Stegostoma tigrinum: one gene and its partners. The protein of the gene in region 1 purifies or fractionates together with the protein of each later gene. This does not show direct contact. Links are inferred from orthologs where the notes say so. Each region holds a gene or a part of one and is shown in the gene's direction. Other genes may lie near its edges. The genes, in order: map3k4, growth arrest and DNA damage-inducible protein GADD45 beta-like and growth arrest and DNA damage-inducible protein GADD45 alpha-like.

Region 1 (8,546 bases):
CTTTTGCTAGGATTATGCTCCCTTGGATTCTTGGGCTGAACTCCAGCGCTTACCGATTGCACAGTTCCAGCTCTTTTTCAAGCAAAGATAACAAGGTGTAGAGCTGGATCAACACAGCAGGCCAGGCAGCATCAGAACAACAGGCAAGCTGACATTTCAGATCTGGACCCTTGTTCAGAAATCATTTCTGATTCTCCAGCACTGGCAGTTCCTACTATCTCCTTTTCAGGCAGCTTGCTTTGGTAAGTCGGCACTGATCCCATGTTTCTCCAAACCTCAATTTTTCAGCAAGTACTGCTCATTGGTTTCCTTTGCTCTCTTCTCAGCTATCGAATTTCCCATGCAGCTTCAATGAGCTGCCCGCTCAACAAAACCAACTGCAGCACTTTAACCTTTTGAAGCCACCTTCTTTTGTTGCTCCTCTCTCTCCAACACAGGCTCTGTGGCTTTCCACTATCTTCTTAGCTCCTCAACACCTCTTCCAAGTCCTAACTGCCTGGAGACTGCTAACAACTGCACATTAGGCTACCTCCCACAACTCCTAAGTTTCTGAATGATTAGCAGCCTGAAGGTAGCAAAAGCCTTCCCCTTTAACTTCGTCTGGCCAAATAAATGGGTCCCCGACTTCCTTTTGCATGCTCCTCAGTCCTATGGTCCCTTTGTTATATCAGTTTCCACAATGCAGGTGCATTGTTCCCTTTATGACCAGATTCTTTACTGGACAAAAAGATCAGCAGATCAAGTGAAATCTGTCATGCTGCTGCTCTGTGCATGAATTAGAACTCATGGCCTACTGGGATATGGAGATTGACTTCTATTTTTCTCCAGTCCTGTGCGGGGCTTCTGCAAAACCTGGCAGAACCTCAAACATTTAATGCTGCTGTTCAGAACAGTCGTCCTCCTCATTGCTGGCTTGAGACAGCATTTGCATCCCAAGCTGTCTATGAGAGGGGTCTATTCTACACAGAGCAGAATTTGGACAAGGCTGCGCTCTGACAGGAACCTCCATTGTTAAATACATCTTCACCATCTGTTCCACTCATCTGTTGTGTTGATTCATCCTCTGTTAAACCAATTAACTTTGATTGCACCAAGTAGTGTGTACAAGAGCTGACAGAAGGTGCATACATTGCACTATGGTTCATAAATAGTGTGAAGTATCTCCTCCTGAGTAAATAGAACATAGAACATTACAGCACAGTACAGGGCCTTCGGCCCTCAATGTTGCCGACCTGTCATACCAATCTGAAGCCCATCTAACCTACACTATTCCATGTATGTCCATATGCTTATCCAATGATGACTTAAATGTACCTAAAGCTGGCGAATCTATTACCGTTGCAGGCAAAGCGTTCCATTCTGTGAGAGATGGAAAACTTGAATCAGAACTGACAAGGTGACTGGCTGTTATCTTAGTCAATGAGTGAGTGAATGTTGTTGCCATGTAGCAGTGTAATGTATAATTCTGTCACCAGGTAACTTGGAAACCCTCCCCTCTTCATATCCTATGATCAGCAATGCTGGGAGTTGACTTATTAACAATATCTTCTCCTCCTCTAGAGCTGTCAAGATGGAATTAACTGTACACACATGCCTGATTTTCTGCCTCTCCCAGATATTCTGTGCTCTCTTCTGAAAATGAGGAAGAACAGACTGATGAATGAGAAATGAAATGCTGAGGTGATGAATGGTCTACTTCTATGCCAATTTTGTGTTTTTGTAGATCCAGGTCAATATTTATCCCTCAGTCATCATCACAAAAAACAGATTACCTACTCATTATTGCATTACTGTCTTTGGGAGATGATGTGTATAAATGGGCTGCTATATTTCCCACATTACCCTACAAGTTAAATATTCAAAAGGATGGTTATGTTGAGCAAGCAGATAGGGTTAAAATCAAGCCTGCTAATTGGTTTGGTTATTTGGCTTGGGATTGTGGGTTGTTACATCTAAATGAACAACAAGAAACAATTTATATTAATAAATGTGAATTGTTCTGAAGACTCTACGTTAATTTTGTTTCTCTTGTGGATGCTACCAGACATGCCAAGGTTCTCCAACATTCTCTGTTGTTTGAGATTTCCAGCATCTGCAGTACTATGCTTTTATTACAGTAATATGTCGGCTTTAGGAACATTGGGACAGACATAGGGAATTTAGCCCCTTAAGCCTGTTTCAGCATTCAACCGGTTTATTGCTGATTCACGATATAACACCTGTGGAGAGACAAAAGAAAAATAGCAGACATTGACGTCTTTGTCCAGAGAATCTAGCAACTGCATTGTATAGTCTAAGTCAAGAGGCTATGAAAGGTAAACATTTGGTTTTGTTATTGTAGACAATGCCTCCTTACAATGGTGAAATTATTATATTCTTATCTGTAGCAAAATAAATCTTCCTTACAATAATGATCAATTCTTGAACATTTATGGTTGCCCAACCCAGCTAATTTCTGCTCTCCAGCAAGGCATGGAGCTTGTTGAAGGGTCTGAAAAACATTGGCTTTGGGCTTCTCATCTTTTACTGAAGGAAATTGCTATTCATCCAGGAGTGAATGGTGAATGTGCAATGTGACAATAGAGAGGGCTTGATACAGTTGGTGGTGAGATAGAGCTGGATAAGCCTCCATGAATTAGATCTATCATGAATCATTTGTTAAGCTTCATTTTAACATTTAAAGACATGGCTGTGATTATCCATTTTCATTTAATTTTGTTTCAATTCTCTACTTTGAGTTTGCTGCTTTCAAAACTTCATACTTTGCATACTTATTAACAGGCCTGCATTTTCCTAGTTATCTCTCAACTTTTTTCGAACGTGCCCATCACATTGCTTACATGAGTGTCAACAGGACAATGCATTTTCAGTTACTTTAAATCCAAAAGTTTTCAGACAGCAATGAAATGTTCCATAAGGATGCTTTTCTTCTCCAGAACTGACCACATGGGAGTTTCTGTTCCTGGAGCCATAGACTGAGAAAAACACAAAAGTCTAAACAAAACTGTATGGCTCTGCTTCAAAATGATCATTCCTTCACAGGAAGGATGAATCGACGATGGATGAGGGCAGCATGGTTGTAAAGTGGTTAAGCACTGCTGTCTCACAGCACCAGGAACCTGGGTTTGAGTCCAGCTTTGGGTGATTATTTGTATGGAGTTTGCATGTCCTCCTCTTGTCTGCATGGGTTTCTGCCGGGTGCTCTGGTTTCCGCCCACAGTCCAAGGACATGCAGATTAGGGGATTGGCCATGCTAAGTTGCACCATTGGCAGCATCCTAGGTGGATTAGTCAGTTTAAATCGAGGGGAAAGAATGCTCTTTGGAAGGTCAGTGCAGACTCACTGGGCCGAATGAACTCTTCCTACACTTTAGGGATTCCATGAGAGTGGCCACAAATATATCCAATCTCCCCGATTTTTTTTCTCTAATTTCGTTATTTGGTGATAAAGAGCAGATAAATTAGTATCTGGCAACCTTCTTTTGTACAAGTCTTTAATAAGTTTTAAGTTTATTTCTATTAGGTTCAGTTAGTCTACATTGATATGGTTGGACACCTCAGTCCATTTAATGCATTCTTGTTTCATGTGCAAAATCTGGGATATTCCTCAGGGTATAGAATGAGATGCCAGAGGAAGTGTTAGAGGCTGGTATGATTACAACATTTAAAAAGCATCTGGATGGGTACATGAATAGGAAGGGTTTAGTGGGATAATGGCCAAATGCTGGCAATGAGACTAGATTTATTTAGGATATCTGCTCAGCATGGACGAGTGGGACCAACGGCTCTGTTTCTGTGCTGTACATCTCTGACTCTATGATTGGATGAACACATCTTCAAGAAGTGTGGTCAGCTGAAGCAGCTCAAGCTCTGGGGTTTCAGAGCTTGAGCAGCAGCTTATTTCTCTGCAGTACATCTGTGAAGTTGGATTGTATGTTGCTGGAATATCACCATCCTGTAGCTTGGGTGGACAGGCAAAGAAGGAATGGTCAGGCGATCGAGTAGGACCAGAGGGCAGACTGCATCTTGCTTTCCAAACAGTATTCAAATCAGAATACTGATGAGAATAATAGTTGATCTGGAGCACAGTCAAGGCCACAGCACCAGAAGTAGCTAGCTCAAGAAAGAAAATTGGGAGCTGATACTGTCAGGGATGTCAAAACGAAATTGAATAGGCACCTAAAGATTTTTTTAAAATGCAGCTCTATAGAAGGGAGGGAGTGTCGTACAGCTGAATGACTTCACTTTGCATCATAACCCATCCTGTTAATTACATATTTATTTTGTACTACCAGACTTTTCTAGCAACACCGTATTCTCCCTCATTCAGAGCTAAGTGAAAACAAAATTGCGCAGCTTTCATTGTACGGGAGGATAGTAACATGTATTTCACTCAGGTTGTATACGAGTGGCTGTAACCGTCGCACTTGGCAGCAAAAAGCTGCAGCTGGTTCTTTCTCACAAGTTGGTGTCTGAATGACCAGCAGAGCCTGACACAGTGACACCAATTACCATATAGAGGAGGATTGCTCTCCACCAGCAAACACCGCCCCCCCCCCAACCCCTTCCATACAAATCAATTCATTTATGAATCATAACCCCTTCGTCTGGAACTTACATGAAATAAATGACAAAAATTGCTGGGAAAACTCAGCAGATCTAGGAACCTCTGTGGTGAGAGGGACGTAAAATTAACGTTTCGAGTCCAGCCACACTTCTTGGGAGGTTAATTACTTTGATTTTTGAAACGGCGGAAGCTTCCCTTCTTGAGGCGATTTACATAAAAACAACTCATGACGGTTGGAAAAAGTAGGCAGCCGATTCGTTTTATTTTTCTGGAAAAGAAAACCGTTGATCTGTTACTTCCCACTCAAATAATTTCAGTGAATTTATATATTAGAGTTGGTATACTTCAGGTCAGGACAATGGAAAATGAAAATAAAGACTTGCGCACACCTGGAGGCAGTGTGTTTTCAGTTGTTGTCTGTCCGTTCTGCTGCCCTCTGCCGGCCGTAGCCGGTTGCCGTAGTTACCACATACCGGTCCCAAGATGGCCGCCCCGGTAGCAGAAAGGCGCCTCAGTGTTGGCTGATGACTCGGTCCTTACAGCTCGCAACCACTGGGCGGACTTCCAGCATTTATTTCTCTCCCCCGCCTCCGGCCTCCAATTAAAAAAAAACTTGCAGCCTTTCTATGTTTTGAAGACGACAGCAACAATAACGCGTCATGGCGTGCACTTTGTATCACTAGACTACCGATATGGAACAGTCCGAGCTGCAGCCGCCTCAAATGCAAAGGTAAAAGGGAGCGATGATTAGCGGGGAACAAGAAGGGCCAAGTGTTTTGTGTACATTTAAGCGAAAGGGGTTTCGAGAGTCAATCGAGACGGGAGGGGTATGTGCAGGGCTGCAGACTGGGCCGCAAGCAGCTTCTGCCAAATAGTGCTTTCACACTTAACGTTGGACCGCAGCCCCCGCGCTTGCGCACAGCGACCCTCAGTGCTTCCTGCCACATTCTGCACAGAGGGCAAAAATTCTGCAGCTTTTAATTTGCACCGTGAAAAGGGGGAAAACTCTGTGCAACATAATTTTAACTTTTTGCATTGTGTAGAAAAGTGAACGAGGTCACCAATGCATACAGGTATTATCGGTATAAGTTTTAGTTAATCGCAGAAAATTGTGGCAAGTAAGCGAGTTTCGTTTGGGAAAATACAATGACAATGGTGGTGGGATTCTGCAGTGAAACAAGAAACGAAATTAGTGCATAGAACTAAATGCTCTGCAACAGCTATGCCGTAGTTCCAGGAAGACATCTAAATCATTGAGCTGGTTGGTAGTGGAAGTGTTACAATACTTAATGAATTCTCCTCGGTCCACTGATAACAAAGGAGTTTAGCGAAAGGTGCATCAAGTCACGCACAATGTGCCCGAAAATGTACGAATGCAGTTCTTTTTATGACAATGTTTGGGGTTTATCAGCACCCAAAAATAACCGTTTGAAGAATAGTTACAGACTCTACTTGCAGAGTGAACTTATGGCTGATTTGGAACTGTATCGGAGTTTCTTAACTGGAGAAAGTCCGGCAGATCCCTCCACCCCCTCTTCACAGAAAACCGTCTCTAGAACTGCGAAGCCATGCTAAGATTTTAAAGCTTTCCGAACCAGAGCCCTTTTGCCCGCCTAATTCTGAGTTACACAGGACTGGGTGCATGGAAAATATTTTTGTTTTTCCACCTTGAGTTAAAAGCCTTAATTGGTAACCTTTAACATTTGTAGTAGTTTTCTTTCATCCCAAAAGCTAGACAGCGACCTGAATGTCTATTGGGCTCTTTTGTGTACCAGGGTTGTTTTGAAACATTTACCCCCACCGTGGAGCATCTAATACAGCAGTAAACAACTTCATTGCGGGGATGGTTTCAAATAAACAGCACGACGGTGGGATGTACGAAATTATCCAAATCTTTAGGGCTTTTACATGCAAGAACCGTAATCTCCTGTTCACTGGAGTCGACGGAGTTGAAAAGAAAGGCAGATTGGGTATTTTGTGGACGTTGTGTGGGTTGCTCGTTTGTTGAGAAATCACCTAGTAACGTAAATTCTGGGAATAAAATTCTAAATTGAATTTTTGAGTGGGAGTTTGCGACAAATGTAATGCCGATTGAGAACAGAATCTGGGAATGATTTTCCTTACAGAATGAATTAATGTGAAAGTACCTTTTTGCAGTATGATTAGCTCACTTTGCTGCTATCCTTGTTTGTCTGGAAACTTGAATAGCAAATTCAGGAGAGCTGTTGTGCCGATCGGATGGCGGAGTTTTTCAAGCTGCGGTTTGAATGTACTTTAAGGGCAGCGCTACATTTTCCGGAATATTTTGTTTTTCTAGGGTGCGGCCGTTTCGTTTGCAATTTAGTACGTCTAAGTAATGTGCTATATGTTTATTCTGGAATTGAGGATGACTGAAATTTGCGGTGCAGCGAGGCTTGTGATTAGCATGATGCGTTATGACTCTAACATTTCTGACCAATTGTTAGCACGCGAAAGGCCAAATTATTTCTAATCGATTAGTTTTCTCAAGTAACACAATGTTGAAATAAATCTTCCCAGGACTTGCCCTGAAATTAACTTCTGCCCTGGAAGAGTGAGATGGGTGTAATTGGTGAGCGGTAACTCATCAAAGTGACAACTTTTGTAACTCTGCCCAAATTCTAGATACGTAGAATTTTCCGTTTTTTTTTCTCAAGACTGGAGTCATTGTCTTCACTCCCTGCCACAGACTCTTCTGTGGCTGAGTCCGTCTTTTTCTGTTTGAGGCTGAACCACTTCGTGTCTCCTCTCATCCTGAGCTGAGTTCCCAACCCCACAGCTGCTTCCCTCAACAAGGCCCTCTGCTGAAACGCTCATCATGTCCTTGTTACCTTAAGTATTAAAGTATTAAAATGCTTCCCTTGCTTGCGTCCTTCATCTTAGCTTCCGTTGAGTCCTGTTCGAGCATCCTCTAAACTCCATTGGCTCCCCTTCCGTGAAGGCCTCAATCTAACATTTTCCCTCTCGTCAAATCCTTACACCGCGATGGCGCTAAACTCTTTCAACTGACTGAAACATATGAGATCCTGAGGCGTCTTGACATGGAGAATGTGGGATACACGTTTTAGAATCTAGAACTAGGGGTCACTATTTCGAAAGACGGGGTTGCCCATTTAAACCATGAGAATTTCTTTTCTCAGTGTGTCTTGAATCCTTGGAACTCTGCCTCCACTTTTTTTGTGGAAAGAGACTGAATATATTTAAAGCAAATGTAGATATTTAATATGCAAAGGGTAAAAAGTTTAGACTGGAATGTGCAGTAATCAGGTCAATAATCCTTTATTTTACTGACTGTCGCAGGCTTGAGGGGTGGAGTGACTCTCTGATTAATGTTTTCTACATCCTTTTGAGATGTTTGCTCTCCTTCAGTTCTGGTTTTATTTTTGTTCCTGATTTTCATGTGCCCCCAACAGTTATGGCTGTTCCTTCAACCACTGTGGGCTCAGATTTTGAATTGATTCTCTACACACTCCATCTCTGTTTACTGCTGAGCTTGTAAGATTTGTGTTTAAACTTAACACTGACCAGGCTTTTAGTCACTTGTTCTGTTATATCTGTAAAATTGTGTTCCATGAGATTCTCATGAAGTGCCTTAGAAATACAAGTTGTTGTTAGACTGGAGTTTGGGAAATGTAGTTTGATGCAGACGGACTGAAATTGTACTAGCTGGAAGCATAATCAGATCACAGTAGATTACCGACTAAAGATCTCCCTGCCCTGCTTCCTGAACCACTTGTCAGCTGAGGTGACTTGGAACTCTATTATGAAAATTCCACATTCATTTGCAAATAAAATGCTAGACTGACCGTTGGATGAATCACCTAGGTATTCTTTTTCAGTTAAGGAATTAGTTTATAATATTACGGTTGTGAACTCCAAGCATTATTTAGTTAATAGCATAATTGTCTGTCTGGGTCCCATCATGTGAAGCCACTCCTTGTCATTATGAAAATGGAAGGACC
Region 2 (8,303 bases), on another chromosome or scaffold:
TCCGAAACGTCAGCTTTCCTGCTCCTCTGATGCTGCCTGGCCTGCCGTGTTCATCCAGCTCCACACCTTGTTATCTAGGATAACTCCTTGGCTCTTCTTCAAAATAGTGCCACAGAATACTCGACTTTCAATGAAGAGTGCATTGGTTTACTGTCTCATCCAAAAGCAAGTGCTGGATTCACAATCTGAATTGTATGATTTGACTGCCTTCAAAGAAAATTAATTTGTATCAAAATTCTCAAAACATTGACTTCACATTGCTATTAGTGCTATATTAAAGGGATTGGTTAGCTCAGTTGGCTGGACAGCTTGTTTCTGATGCAGTTTGATACCAACAGCATGAGTTCAATTCCTGTACTGGCTGTGGTTACAATGAAGGATTGTCTTCTCAACTTTCACCTTCCTGAAATATGGTGATCTTCACCAGTCATCTCTATCTAATGTGAGAGTAGGACTATAGCAACATCACCTTTTACTTTAGTGCCATGTTGGCAAAGGCCAACAGATGCAAAGTAAAAGAAAGATCCACAACTTTCCCCCCGCAGTGGTCGAGAACGCCCTTGACCGCGTCTCCCGCATTTCCCACAACACATCCCTCACACCCCGCCCCCGCCACTACCACTCCCAGAGAATCCCCCTCATTCTCACATACCACCCCACCAACCTCCGGATACAACGTATCATCCTCCGACACTTCCGCCATCTACAATCCGAACCCACCACCCAAGACATTTTTCCATCCCCACCCTTGTCTGCCTTCCGGAGAGAGCACTCTCTCCGCTACTCCCTTGTCCGCTCCACACTCCCCTCCAACCCCACCACACCCGGCACCTTCCCCTGCAACCGCAGGAAGTGCTACACTTGCCCCCACACCTCCTCCCTCACCCCTATCCCAGGCCCCAAGGTGACCTTCCATATCAAACAGATGTTCACCTGCACATCTGCCAATGTGGTATATTGTATCCATTGCACCCGGTGTGGCTTCCTCTACATTGGGGAAACCAAGCGGAGGCTTGGGGACCGCTTTGCAGAACACCTCCGCTCGGTTCACAACACACAACTGCACCTCCCAGTCGCAAACCATTTCAACTCCCCCTCCCATTCTTTAGATGACATGTCCATCATGGGCCTCCTGCAGTACCACAATGATGCCACGCGAAGGTTGCAGGAACAGCAACTCATATTCCGCTTGGGAACCCTGCACCCCAATGGTATCAATGTGGACTTCACAAGCTTCAAAATCTCCCCTTTCCCCACTGCATCCCAAAACCAGCCCAGTTCTTCCCCTCCCCCCACTGCACCACACAACCAAGCCAGCTCATCCCCTCCCCCCACCGCATCCCAAAACCAGTCTAACCTGTCTCTACTTCCCTAACCTGTTCTTCCTCTCACCCATCCTTTACTCCCACCTCAAGCCGAACCTCCATTTCCTACCTACCACCTCATCCCGCCTCCTTGACCTGTCCATCTTCCCTGGACTGACCTATCCCCTCCCTACCTCCTCACCTATACTCTCCTCTCTACCTATCTTGTTTTCTCTCCATCTTTGGTCCGCCTCCCCCTCTCTCCCTATTTATTCCAGAACCCTCACCCCATCCCCCTCTCTGATGAAGGGTCTAGGCCCGAAACGTCAGCTTTTGTGCTCCTGAGATGCTACTTGGCCTGCTGTGTTCATCCAGCTCCACACTTTGTTATCTTGGATTCTCCAGCATCTGCAGTTCCCATTATCACTGAGTTCTTAGCAGTGCACTTTATGAAGGATATGACCGCATTGGAGATTGTGGGTAGAAAAGATTCAGGAGGATGGTTCTAAGAATACATAAATTCAGTGGTGAAAACTGATTGGAGAGGTTGGTTCAGTTTTCCTAAAAGACTGAGAGGAGATTTGATAGAGGTATTGAAAATCATGAGGGTTTGAGACACTGCAAACAGAGAGAAGTTGTTCCCACTGAAGAAATGAAAGAGAATAAAAGATTTAAAATAATTAGCAAAGAATCAAAAGTGACATGAAGGTCTTCTTCAAACAGTTAAGCTGGAATTTATTGCCTGAGAATGAGGTAGAAGCATTCAAAAATGAATAAGACTGTAATCTGAAAAAGAAGAAACACAAGGTTACAGCGAGATGACCAAAGAATAACACTACGGGAATCACTTGTTTGGATAGCCGAGTAGACATAATGGGCCTAATAGCTTCCTTCAACACAGTAAAATTACGTGAATCTTCGATGGCTGCGTTATCGTGAACATTACCACCAGGTGGAGCAGTGAGGGCACACCCTCAGGAACCCGACATTGCAGTGTGACATTCTGAACCAATGATGGAGAGGTACATTATCAATGTGTTTTGTGTTTATATGGCAATAACTGATGAAAGAAAGAATCGTTTTGAAGCTTCTACCTGGACTGATAAATTACAGAACAAATTGGATAAAGAGGTGAAAGATGAAAGTGGAAGAGAGGGCCCACTCCAATCGGTTAACATGATGTGCAGGTCCCGGTGTTGGACTGGGATGGAGAAGGTCAGAAGTCACATGACACCAGGTTTTCGTCCGACAGCTTTATTTCAAGTTTTCTGGCTTCTTCGTCACTTCACCTGATAGATATTTTTAATCAACTTGTTCAGACATGTTCTGACATGTTATCGACACACTTTTGGAGCAGGTCAGATCTGAACTCTTTTGGCTCAGATAACAAAATGTGAGGCTGGATGAACACAGCAGGCCAAGCAGCATCTCAGGAGCACAAAAGCTGACGTTTCGGGCCTAGACCCTTCATCAGAGAGTGGGATGGGGTGAGGGTTCTGGAATAAATAGGGAGAGAGGGGGAGGCGGACCGAAGATGGAGAGAAAAGAAGATAGGTGGAGAGGAGAGTATAGGTGGGGAGATAGGGAGGGGATAGGTCAGTCCAGGGAAGACGGACAAGTCAAGGAGGTGGGATGAGGTTATTAGGTAGGAGATGGAGGTGCGGCTTGAGGTGGGAGGAAGGGATGGGTGAGAGGAAGAACAGGTTATGGAGGCAGAGACAGGTTGGACTGGTTTTGGGATGCAGTGGGTGGAGGGGAAGAGCTGGGCTGGTTGTGTGGTGCAGTGGGGGGAGGGGACGAACAGGGCTGGTTTTGGGATGCGGTGGGGGAAGGGGAGATTTTGAAGCTCAGAGTTGGAGAACTACCACTACATCACTAGAGTCCTCCCTTCATTGACAAAGTATCTTTCATCACCTGTGGACCTCTCAAATCAGTTTACAACCAATGAAGTACTTATGAAGCGTAATCACCGTTGTAATGTAGGAAGCATTAACTTTTGAAATGTTGCATTTCAAGTCATCGTTACTTTAAGTATATTCATTTATTTTGAAACCTTATAATGTGAATTGGTCTTCGAACTGGCAAAACGCTGCCCCTAAATAACATGTGTGAAGCTGGATGAACTCGTCAGCTTTTGTGCTCCTGAGATGCTGCTTGGCCTGCTGTGTTCATCCAGCTTCACACTGTTGTCTTGGATTCTCCAGCATCTGCAGTTCACATTATCTCTGCCCCTAAATAACATGATGTTGGAAAGTTACAATTTGTATGGTGCAAGTTATTCGTTTTCCTTCAGTTGAACGCCAGGTGGAACCAGTGAACTCATGTCAGAGGGAGTAGCAGGCAACAAGCTCGCCAGACGGCGCCCTTTGATTAGTTTTAAGGTTGCCCATTGTACGTATATTTATTTCTGATTTTGTTTACAAGCTGTGTTCGTTTTTCTTAACGACTTTCGGGGTGTGGAGAGGCCAAGGAAGGTGCATTGTTTGGAATTCCAACCATTTCTGAGGTTGTCTGTAATTTCACAAAGCACCAATCCTATGAGTTTCAACATGTTAACATACGACTGAACGTTACATGTGAACATACCAGATCTCTGCAAATGAATAGATTCGAAGAATAGATACAGTCACGAATACAACGAAGATGTTGATTGCATCTAATTTTCCAACAAATTTAGTGGCAGATATGTTTTTCCTTAATCACAGACTGCCCTAGGTGCCAAAGGATACCCGTAAACAATCAGGCTCATTGCAAAACTTCCCAGAAACGAAGGCTACGGCTGTACACAGTGACTTTGCAAAGCATTTCCTAATTTTCCCGTTTATTTTATATCTGTTCACTTTTGGAAAGTGCATTTAGCTGCTGCAGATAAATTATTGCTTGTGTAGTATATGATTTGTTTATGCGCTCGGCGGTTGGCAGGCGGAGTTTCCACTCAACTGGAAAACTTGTTACGTACGCGAAATATTCCCCGTCGGAAACTAGAGAGAAGAGAAACAGATTCTATTTCCAACTGGTTCTATTTGCTTTTAATCTCGGACTGAGTGTACTATTAAGAAGTAAAGTACATTTAGTTATGTTTTGAAATTTAGAACAGCGAAGCATATTACATTTCCTGGTGCACCAACCAGGGCAGTTTATAACAGCCGTTACACAAGATTTAATATTTAGTGTCACCTGCAATCCACACTCGAAACCTGCAAGACAGTGTGCTGCACAAAACTTCAGATTTTGATCTCGCTCAATAAAATGACATTCTTAAAAATGCAAATTGATGCAAACTTATGAAGCTTGTTAATGTCTCAACCTTTTTCGCCAAGAGCTTGCAATTAACTTCGAACAATTTGAGGCAATTATGACAATTTGCAGACAAGATGTTTTAGCTCAAATATTAAATGCAAAAAAAAGTTTTGAATTGCATTAAGTTGGCGATGAATGCGGCTGTGTGACTAATAAATAGTATCAGGGCTCTTGGATGGGAACTACCAGACAGCTCAGCATTATCATTATCTAATTTTACATTGCAACTGTGTGGTTTTATTCTAGAAGATTCATTCCAATACGGACACGACTGGCAGCTTCATAATGCCTTGTAGCACGCGAAACTGAGTCATCGAGAGGGAGAAAAAAATACGAAGGGAGAGAAACAAGAAAATTCCCAGAAAATACGCCATCTGGGCTCCCCTGTGGAGGACGTTTAATATTAATCGCCGGTCGGAAGAGCCAATCGCGAGAGCCGTATGCAGATGAGCCGGTGGGCGGCATGTAACCTTTTAAAAGCAGTGAACGCCGCCGAAGAGTCGCAGAACGAAGCAGAGAATAGAGTGCAGTGTCGTTTGAATGCGGATCTCGAGCTTTGGAGGATTGTTACAGTCAGTGGTAGAACGTTACAGCGAAGGAGACTTATCACTGGAGTCTTGAACCCGAGGGCTGTGTTTTTTACCTTGGATTTAATTACAACAACATGACTCTGGAAGATATTACTGGAACTGACAACACTAGCAAAAAGTAAGTTGCTAGAAAATCGATCGTTTGTAGTTGGTCTTAATGAGATCAAGCGGAAAGGATCGCGTATAGATAATCTATATCCGTAGGTTATGTAGTTTGCAGACTCTATTTTTTAAAATGAATATGTTGTAAGTATATATATTTTCATCTCTATCCAGAATGCAGCCAATTGATCAAGCTTTAGAAAAATTGTTGGTGACAGCACAACGCCAGGGCTACCTAACTGTTGGGGTTTACGAGTCGGCGAAGTTAATGAATGTGTAAGTATTGAACGGTTTTTTTTAACCTTCATAACAACTGGAACTAGTTGCGAACAACAACTTAAAAACTGCGATTTAGCATCCATTGACTTTCAGATTTTTGTTGTGCATCGTGATTCTAATCGCCCGTTCTACTCCTGTCCCATATGCAGTGACCCGGACAGTGTAGTCCTGTGTCTGCTGGCGGCCGATGAGGAAGATGAAGGCGACATCGCCTTGCAGATCCATTTCACCCTGATCCAGGCTTTCTGCTGCGAGAACGACATAAACATCGTGCGGTTGCGGGGAGTCAAGCGCTTGGAAGAACTTCTGGAGTCTGGGGACGAGACTGCTGAACCCCGGGACATGCACTGCATGCTAGTTACGGTAAGAATAGCCTGTTTCTTCCCTCCATCCCCGAGCTACAGTGCGCTGCAAAAATCTACGGTGTAGACACTATTAATATCTCTCCGACTTAAACATTGTAATAGTAAATAACTTGTGCATCCGAGATCTCTAACGGCATCAATCCGGATCAGATTGCTAATCTTTCTTCAAATTGTTACAATGGTATTTAGTCGATTCTGGCATTTCAGGGGTTAATCTTGCAATTTGTCGTAAAACGAAACGACAGCGTTTGGGCGGGTACAACTGACTGGAATTGACGTGCTGTTGTCGCTGACGCGATGTTTAATCGGGTTTTTTTTCGTTCTATTTCCAGAACTCTCATACTGATGTTTGGAAATGTGAGGCGTTGGAGGAAGTCGGAAGCTATTGCGAGGAAAGTAGAAACAAGAACCAGTGGGTTCCTACCGTGTCCCTGCAAGAACGCTGAAGGTTTCAAACCAGCTGAAGAAAAGGAAGCTGAGAAGAAGCGTCTTTAATTAAATGAGAAATGTATGCCGTTTTCTTCTACAAAAAGATGCGGGTGGATGAGGAAAAATCATGTTTGCAAAGGCATTTTTTTGTTTTATTTTTTAAAAAGAGAGAAAAGGTAAAGAAGACGGCATACCCGGCGGAAACTTGGCTGTTTTTTAGAGCGGCGAGTGGATTGCAATCCGCTCCCGGAACCGAGAAGACAGCTGCAGAGGAGGAGCTGGACTGGAGGTGTCGAAACCCGATTTGGAAATGGAATGAAGGAGAGATTTTCGAAGCAGGGCTCTTTTGTATCTAGATTTTTTTTGATAATAGACTGGACTGATGCAGAAAGTGGAAGAAAGGATCTGTGAAGACTAGAGTACAACAGGACTATAATCCTGGTGTGGAGGATAGATGGACGGTTTTGTTTTAAACAGTGGTTGGCCGGCCGGCCTCGCCCCCTCTCCATGACTGATGGAGTCTTTTATCCGCGTCCTACTGCAGGCGGAACGTGCGAGCTTGCACTGGAACTGCATTTTGGAGCTGTTTGCATTTCTTAAAGGGAGCTAGCTCCCCCCCACACGAGTTACCTGTACTGTTTCCTTTGTACACCAAGGGGATTTGCAGCAAATGTTAATTGGACTGTTGCACTTAGCTTCAATACTGGGATGTTTTGCATAGAACCCCAATGTTATGTAACGGGCATCGTGCAATTTAATTCTAAACTATTGATCTGAAATGTAGTATTTTTCAGCGTCTTATTTATAACGTTGTGATTTCCTCTCTTTTTTCTTGATTTATGTAAAAAAACCTCATTTCTATTACATTACAATAAATATTTTAACATTTAAAAGTATATACTCGTCTGACTTTTTTCTCCTTGTCATAACATCCACTGCTTTGGAGAAGTGGGATGAAATACTTGATTTTTTTTCTTAATAGTTGGCAGCAAACAACACTTTGAAAAGCTAATTAACAGCTCAGGATTGTACATGCCTGGTTTAGAGTTTGATCATCAAAAAAAAACACCAAGCTTTTACTGTTTCAGTCTGCCGTTTGACCTTTGGATACGCAAAATTAATCAGATTTTCACTTTTAGCCATGTCAAGAAAATTACAACTGTAGTTTTGGCAATGGAGGCCAGATTTTTGTCAAAGCTGCTCTGTTTGATTCAAAATTTAAATCAATGACTTAACTGCAGCTTCACACCTTCCTGCAAAGTGAATTAATGGCTTCATTTTGTAGACCATTTTAATTCCAGTTATAACTTTCCCAATGCACTCCTGATTGGAGTTGTGGGCTTCTTGGTGTTTCAATATATAGACAAGAATCCTGTAGTTTAAAGGTGGTGGGAACAGCTAATTCATCAAGACACCTTCATGTAAATGTATTTGCTTTTGAATTGACAAAGCAGATGTATTGGACTTCAATGATTCCTGTGTTCAGCCAACTCCCAATGGGAAGCTAAACTATAATGTATTAATGTTACAATTTGGATGTGGAATTGGTGATGGTGTTTGGGACTCTCAACAAATAACAGCCTTCTCAAGGAGGTACTCATGATGCAAAGCTGGCTCCAAGGTATTTTCAAATTGTAGCAGAAAAAAAGCAGTCACTAAAATATCACTTCTGTACAGTTGTTTTGACTGTGAAAATAAAACTGATGGTGAGCAATTTTTCTGATGAGCAATGCAGAGCCAGGAGTAAATGTTAAGTATGTTGCTCTACTGTTTTGAAAATCTTTGGGTCACAGTCCAAGTACCTGTGAATATAGATGTGTTTTCCTGCATGATAATTGTTAACTTATTCAAAGAGTCAATCTTTTAAATTGACAGTGTTCAAAATACATTTTGTGGAACTTGGCAGAAATTCTATTGGTCAGAGAAAATTCAGT
Region 3 (7,721 bases), on another chromosome or scaffold:
GGGAACAAGGGGGAGCAGACTGAAGATAGATAGAGGAGAGGATAGGTGCAGAGGAGAGTACGGGTGGGGAGGTAGGGAGGGGACAGGTCAGTCCGGGGAGGACGGACAGGTCAACGGGGCGAGATGAGGTTAGTAGGTAGGAAATGGAGGTGTGGCTTGAGATGGGAGGAGGTTATAGGTGAGAGGAAGAACAGGTTAGGCAGGCGGAGATGAGCTGGGCTGGTTTTAGGATGCAGTGGGGGGAGGGGAGATTTTTGAAGCTGGTGAAATCCACATTGATACCATTGGGCTGCAGGGTTCCCTAGTGGAAAATGAGTTGCTGTTTCTGCAACCTACAGGTGGCATCATTATGGCACTGCAGGAGGCCCAGGATGGACATGTCGTCTAAGGAATGGGAAGGGGAGCTGAAATGGTTCGCGACTGGGAGGTGCAGTTGTTTTCTGCGAACCGAGCGTAGGTGTTCTGCAAAGCGGTCCCCAAGCCTCCGCTTGGTTTCCCCAATGTAGAGGAAGCCACACCGGGTACAGTGGAGACAATGTACCACATTGGCAGATGTGCAGGTGAACCTCTGCTTGATATGGAAAGTCATCTTGGGGCCTGGGATGGGATTGAGGGAGGTGGTGTGGGTGCAGGTGTAGCACTTCCTGTGGTTGCAGGGGAAAATGCCAGGTGTGGTGGGATTGGAGGGGAGTGTGGAGCGGACAAGGGAGTTGCGGAGAGAGTGGTCTCTCCAGAGGGCAGCCAAGGGTGGGGTGGGAAAAATGCCTTTGGTGGTGGGGTCGGATTGTAGATGGCGGAAGTGTCAGAGGATGATGCGTTGTATGCGGAAGTTGGTGAGGTGGTATGTGAGGACTAGGGGGATTCTCTTTGGGTGGTTATTACGAGGGCAGGGTGTGAGAGACGAGGTGCGGGATATGCAGGAGACACGGTCGAGGGCGTTCTCGAGCACTGCAGGGGTAAGTAGAGGCCTTTGAAGAACGAGGACATCTGGGATGAGCGGGAGTGAAATGCCTCATCCTGGGAGCAGATGCGGCGAAGGCGAAGGAATGGGGAACAGGGGATGGAATTTTTGCAGGGAAGTGGGTGGGAGGAGGTGTATTCCAGGTAGCTATGGGAGTCAGTGGGCTTGAAATGGACATCAATTTGTAGGTGGTTGCCATCCCTGTAACCCTGCATTTCCCATGGCTAATCCACCCAGTCTGAAAATCCATGGACACGATCAGCAAATTAGCATGGCCAATCCACCTAAAATAAATGGCGGTATTTTAGATTGAAATGAGGTATACAGTACTTTTCCAAAGATTCTGTATTTAAGGTCACTATTTTGTTAATATTTATTAGTGACTTTGATTTAAAGTTATAGCATGTAACTTTGAAATTTGAAAATGTCACAAAACTTAGAAGAATTATAAATGTTAAGATAATAGTAGAATTCAATGGGATAGACTTGTGACAGATACAATTCAATGCAGAAAGCAATGAGATGATACATTATGGTCGAAAAAATGAGAAGAGAGATGCTAAATAGCACAATTAAATGGATATGTTAGCAGAGAGAGACCCGGAAACTAATTCGATTGGCTGGAAGGTCTGTAATCAAAGGGTACAGACTTAGGATGATTGACAAAAATTCGGAGGCAACATGAGGAAACATTTCTTTGCACAATTGATTTGGATTTGAATTACATTGATGTTAGAGTGATGGATACAGAGTCAATAGTGGACTGACAAAGGAGCAGCATACTGAAAATTTGTAATTGAAAATAAGCCTGTTGGGCCATAACTTGTTGTCGTGAAACTTCTGACTTTGTCCACCCCAGTCCACATGGGCACCTGCCCATCGTGTCTCAATTTACATTGCTAAAACAGATCATTTGTTCATTAATTGCACTGCTATTAATGAGACATTCATGAGTGCAGTTTGGCTGCTGCAATACCCGACATTGCGCCTAGGTTGCGCTCCAAAATGCTTTGGCACATTCTGATTTGATGGAAAAGATGAAACCTGAATGCATGCTCCTTTGTAAAATGAACTGATTAGGCTTGTACTTATTACTTTACGTGGAGTAGAATTGATAATGAAATTTTAATATATTGCAATAATTGAATATGCATTATTTGTAACTGATATTTGTATTACAGCTCTACACCTGTACTGAGATGATTATGCAGACTTGAAATATATATGCTCACATTCTTGTCAACAGTTACATATGTTCTTAAAATATGCTCTTGAAACAGCAGTGATACAGGCAGGAACATGTTTAATTTCCACATTACTGACCCTGGTGGTCAGTCTGCTTGATGATAATGACACTGAGTGTTCCAATCAGGGCACAACGAGTGAAGAGAGATAATGGGAACTGCAGATGCTGGAGAATCCAAGATAATAAAGTGTGAAGCTGGATGAACACAGCAGGCCAAGCAGCATCTCAGGAGCACAAAAGCTGACGTTTCGGGCCGAGACCCTTCATCAGAGAGGGGGATGGGGTGAGGGTTCTGGAATAAATAGGGAGAGAGGGGGAGGTGGATCGAAGATTGAGAAAAGAAGATAGGTGGAGAGGAGAGTATAGGTGGGTAGGTAGGGAGGGGATAAGTCAGTCCAGGGAAGACGGACAGGTCAAGGAGGTGGGATGAGGTTAATTGGTAGGAAACAGAGGTGCGGCTTGGGGTGGGAGGAAGGGATGGGTGAGAGGAAGAACAGGTTAGGGAGGCAGAGACAGGCTGGACTGGTTTTGGGATGCAGTAGGGGGAGGGGATGAGCTGCGCTGGTTGTGTGATGCAGTGAGGGGAGGGGACGAGCTGGGCTGGTTTTGGGATGCAGTGGGGCAGGGGGAGATTTTGAAGCTGATGAAGTCCACATTGATACCATTGGGCTGCAAGGTTCCCAAGCGGAATATGAGTTGCTGTTCCTGCAACCTTCGGGTGGCATCATTGTGGCACTGCAGGAGGCCCATGATGGACATGTCATCTAAAGAATGAGAGGGGGAGTTGAAATGGTTAGCGACTGGGAGGTGCAGTTGTTTACTGTGAACCGAGCGGAGGTCCCCAAGCCTCCGCTTGGTTTCCCCAATGTAGAGGAAGCCACACCGGGTACAATGGATACAGTATACCACATTGGCAGATGTGCAGGTGAACCTCTGCTTAATATGGAAAGTCATCTTAGGGCCTGGGATAGGGGTGAGGGAGGAGGTGTGGGGGCAAGTGTAGCATTTCCTGCGGTTGCAGGGGAAGGTGCTGGGTGTGGTGGGGTTGGAGGGCAGTGTGGAGCTAACAAGGGAGTCACGGAGAGAGTGGTCTCTCCAGAAAGCAGACAAGGGTGGGGATGGAAAAATGTCTTGGGTGGTGGTGTCAGATTGTAGATGGCGGAGGTGTCGGAGGATGATGCGTCGTATACGGAGGTTGGTGGGGTGGTGTGTGAGAACGAGGGGGATCCTCTTTGGGCGGTTGTGGCAGGGGCGGGGTGTGAGGGATGTGTTGCGGGAAATGCGGGAGACGTGGTCAAGGGCGTTCTCGACCACTGTGGGGGGAAAGTTGCGGCTCTTGAAGAACTTGGACGTCTGGGATGTGCGGGAGTGGAATGCCTCATCGTGAGAGCAGATGCGGCGGAGGCGGAGGAATTGGGAATAGGGGATGGAATTTTTGCAGGAGGGTGGGTGGGAGGAGGTGTATCCTAGGTAGCTGTGGGAGTCAGTGGGCTTGAAATGGACATCAGTTACAAGCTGATTGCCTGAGATGGAGACGACGAGTGAAGCTTGTGTTTACTTGGTGTCTTTCACAACCTTAGAATGTCCCAAGTGTTTTACAGTCAACTGACTACATTTAAAGCGTAGGAAATTCCAAGATATTGAACCAGCAATGATGAAGGAATGACTATCAACGCGCAATTACAGATGACGTGATTTGGAACTGAATGTGGAAGTGTTGGCGTTCCCTTAACATTGTTGCCCTTGTCCTTGGTGATAGACGTTGCAGTGGAGGTTTGTTTACTGTATCTACACATAGTGGACTTTTTTTTAAATATCACGTTTGACGTTAAACAAAGAATTAAGGCTTTTGCTTCTATGAATAATTTCGTCGGGCAATCCTACAATTTCCAAACATGGATACCGAAATGAGGAATGAGCATTGATTGATGTGTCGACCGCCCCAGTGAGCTGCGAGACAGACACGCTTCGGTATCCGCTCCAACCCTCCCCCCCACCACAAAACCCACCTCCCCCAGGGCTGACCCTTTGTCCCCAGCGGGTCAGGGTGAAAGCAAAGTCCTTATTAGCATAAAGGACAACGACCAATGGCGGAGCGCCCATGCAAATAAGCGAGCACTGGGTTGGTTGGCTTTCCCTTGTTACATCCGGCCCCCTGGCTGTAACTCCGCCTTCAACGCCGCGAGCCTTCTCAGTGCCGGAGCTGACAGCAGCCGCTGCATTGAGCTGGATCGAGCCCACTAGCGCACGCAAGGCACTGTCAATTGCAGGCAGAGAAAGCTGTAGCAACCTGAGAAACTCATTCACACCGACAAACAGAATGACTTTTGAAGAACTTACAGGCGATCAGAAAGCAGACAGGTAAAAGCAATGCTATAAAGCGCACCGATTGCACTTTAAATAAACCCTATCTTTTTTTTAAAAAGTGAAACAGTGTTTGATTGAGCGTGCGGTGCAGATTCTTGGTTTGCGTTGTGCGTCGGTTAAAAGAAGTTTAATCTTCCTGTCATAGTAGAATTTTTTGTGAGATGAAGCACATACATTTGCATTCATTTGACACAACCATAACGCAGAATTGTTAATCTCTGGAGTTAGATCCTGTTGTTGTTATTGATGAAGGAATTAATACTGTTTTTTTTAAAACTTCTGATGCGGGTGGTAGGATGGACGTAGTGAGAAAAGCTTTGGAAGAAGTTTTGAGCTCCGCGCTGGCGCAAGGCTGCATCACAGTTGGAGTGTACGAAGCAGCAAAACTCCTCAACGCGTAAGTATCCACCAAGAACCAAAGTTTTCACATTTTTACTTTTTAAAAAATCAGTTTAAAAACGGACGGATTTTATTTATACTTTTCGACAGGGACCCTGACAACGTTGTTTTATGCTTGCTTGCGACGGATGAAGGGGATGATCTGGATGTGGCTTTACAAATTCATTTTACTCTGATCCAAGCTTTTTGCTGCGAAAACGATATTAACATAATGAGAGTGAACAACATGCACCGTCTAGCAGAGATCTTGGGCGGGATTGATGGGGCAGGCGAACCCAAAGATCTCCATTGCATATTGATCACTGTAAGTATTATACTAGTCACACCAGGAACGAATCCAATAACCGAGGCGTAAAACCGTCATCAGTTTTAAACAATGACAGAAATCTTACCTTTGTGAGGATTTAAATAAAGTTATTTGTAGACAGTATGAAACGAGTTACAGACGGTGACTGAAATCAGTCTAGGTTATTGCAAGTTGACAATTGGACCCCTAGAAGCAGACGAAACTGTATATACCGATACTCAACTGATTGTTGTGATTGGATGTAAATGTGGTCGTGGTTGACGTAATGTCTTTTTGCACCAATAGATGGCATAAGTTAGAGAATAGCTAACATCATGATTTGAGATTACAAGTACAGTATTTTGGAAAGAAGGGGGCGGTGAGAATTAAATGATGCACTTTTTAAAATATTTTGTTCCATAAGGATGATTTTATTTGTCTTCAATTCAGAGTCAAGTTGCACCATGGAAAGACGCAGCGTTGAGCAAAGTCAGCTGTTTCTGCAAAGAAAGTCGTTACTTGGACCAGTGGGTTCCAATCATCAACCTGCCCGAGCGGTGATCAATTTTAAATCACAGACCCTGGATTTAAGATTCGCTTTTGTTTCTCAGGAATTGCTCAGGAGATATTCTCAGTAGCTGTCCGAAAACTTGGCGCTGGAAAATTAGAGTTTTTATTTGTTGCTGAGAGCAGGCTAGACTGGACTTTCGATTGTCTGTAATTATTTTCTCTGAACGCTGGACTATGACTCAACTTGAGTTGTGCCTGGAAATAGTGACAATGACTAAGCAGACGGGAACCGAAGCAAGGGTTGGAACTGATTTCATAGCTGAGAGTAATAGAACTGCCGGAAGAATTGCGGGAATTACAGCTTCCATTTCGGGAACTAGAACTTTAAAAAAAAACTTGTGTTTTGACAGACTCATCGAATGGATAACAGAAGTGTTTGAATTTTGTTGTGAAAATGCAGTATTGCTGACTAATTACACGATGTCACGGAGCTGAGGGGAAGTTTAAAAAACCAAAACCGAATAAGTTAAGGATTTTTACTGTACTTACTTACAAAATTGTACTTTATTACAAAAACCTTTTTTGCTGTTTTGTCTAAATATGAAATGACAAGTTATTTCACAATTTATATAAATTGACGATTATTTATATTTGTGAAAGAATTGACTATAATTTCTAAATCCATTAATAAATATTATTACTTTTATTCACTAGCTATTTAATGTTCTAGTCTGTTATAGATAATTTTAATTTGTATATTACTGAATTGTTTTAATTGGAAACAGTTTGCAATACAATACAATGGAATTGCCAATGGACTGATTTCAGCCTGTTTAATTGGGGTATATTGTCAGTATTTTAAGTCACATTTTATTCCTTCTGTCAGTTTGTACAGATGAGCAGTGTTAAAATTGCACCAGTGCTCTTGACAGGTGAGTTCAGAACTCAGCCGAACTTGTGATCAAAACAAAATGCAGTAACATATCAGTGCAGTAGTTTATTATTTAGTGACTATTTTGGCAATTTGATATCCTACTACACATATACAACACACAACATCCAACAGCTATACATCCTGAATATTTCCTACTATTGTCAAGATTGCAAATAATTGTAACAGCAATTGCATGTTCAACTTAGTCTATGAGAGTTAACTGACTGTGCTCAATTGTAGCAACTCCTCTTCCAGTTTTACAAAGAACCACTGGAATAGAGATGGAAAAAAAAAATCAGCCTGTGTCTTCATTTTGATCATTGAGTAACCACCACTGGAATTGCTTGTGTCTAGGTCAGTTGAGGATAAAAATATGCTTAGTGTTCAAATGGCATTTTTGGAGAGGAAAGTACAATTCACATTTCAGATTAATTATCTTTCATCAGAACCCTGACAAAAGATCACCAATCTGAACAAATGTATCTATGGCTTTCCATTGAAACTGCATGGCCAGAATGTTTCTAGGATTTTCCAATGCAGAATTTTCCAACTATTATTCCCTTCTTCATGCCCACTTAAATAACTGTACCACGGTTCTCAGAGACAGGCTGGACACCGCAACAAGGGATTCAAATTTATGCATGCTTAGCACTATTCAAAAGGTGGCTTGCACAGTCAAAAGCCAGTCAGCACCTCTTCAAGGGGGAAGCAGAGCAGACAGTATACTCAAGGGCGTTTAACCTAACACTAAAGAATTTGGCAAATAAGGTGCATAGGAGGAGATGGCAGTGCAACCAGATAGCCAGTGCTGTCAATATTGTCAAACAATGCATCCCAAAGATCTAGATGAGATGTAGGAAAAGGTTTAATGATCTCATGAGTGCTCAAGGTCAATGAATGTTTCATCACATGCCATATCCTTAGAATAGAATGATGAGATTCAGATATTGCTCAACTCTAATACATCAATCACCGAGCAGCAATTTGTTTCTCAACTAGAACTCATACCTTCCTTTAC

Evidence for each region.
Region 2: the proteins of map3k4 (region 1) and growth arrest and DNA damage-inducible protein GADD45 beta-like purify together in Homo sapiens (co-immunoprecipitation; 3 studies listed by BioGRID and IntAct, counting the BioPlex papers as one, with this or other methods). This does not show direct contact. The link is inferred for Stegostoma tigrinum from reciprocal best matches to the Homo sapiens genes MAP3K4 and GADD45B.
Region 3: the proteins of map3k4 (region 1) and growth arrest and DNA damage-inducible protein GADD45 alpha-like purify together in Homo sapiens (co-immunoprecipitation; 3 studies listed by BioGRID and IntAct, with this or other methods). This does not show direct contact. The link is inferred for Stegostoma tigrinum from reciprocal best matches to the Homo sapiens genes MAP3K4 and GADD45A.

The regions. Positions count from the first base shown.
Region 1 is NC_081362.1:25,393,174-25,401,719, reverse strand, and holds the start of map3k4 (mitogen-activated protein kinase kinase kinase 4), read left to right. Parts: upstream 1-5,028; 5' UTR 5,029-5,258; coding exon 5,259-5,296; exon of another isoform or gene 5,297-5,458; intron 5,459-5,524; exon of another isoform or gene 5,525-5,639; intron 5,640-8,546. UniProt on the Homo sapiens protein: Component of a protein kinase signal transduction cascade. Activates the CSBP2, P38 and JNK MAPK pathways, but not the ERK pathway. Specifically phosphorylates and activates MAP2K4 and MAP2K6.
Region 2 is NC_081383.1:7,331,114-7,339,416, forward strand, and holds growth arrest and DNA damage-inducible protein GADD45 beta-like, read left to right. Parts: upstream 1-5,085; 5' UTR 5,086-5,268; coding exon 5,269-5,312; intron 5,313-5,470; coding exon 5,471-5,572; intron 5,573-5,724; coding exon 5,725-5,938; intron 5,939-6,272; coding exon 6,273-6,386; 3' UTR 6,387-7,265; downstream 7,266-8,303.
Region 3 is NC_081361.1:51,756,197-51,763,917, forward strand, and holds growth arrest and DNA damage-inducible protein GADD45 alpha-like, read left to right. Parts: upstream 1-4,395; 5' UTR 4,396-4,527; coding exon 4,528-4,568; intron 4,569-4,869; coding exon 4,870-4,971; intron 4,972-5,063; coding exon 5,064-5,277; intron 5,278-5,365; exon of another isoform or gene 5,366-5,650; intron 5,651-5,709; coding exon 5,710-5,820; 3' UTR 5,821-6,477; downstream 6,478-7,721. UniProt on the Homo sapiens protein: In T-cells, functions as a regulator of p38 MAPKs by inhibiting p88 phosphorylation and activity.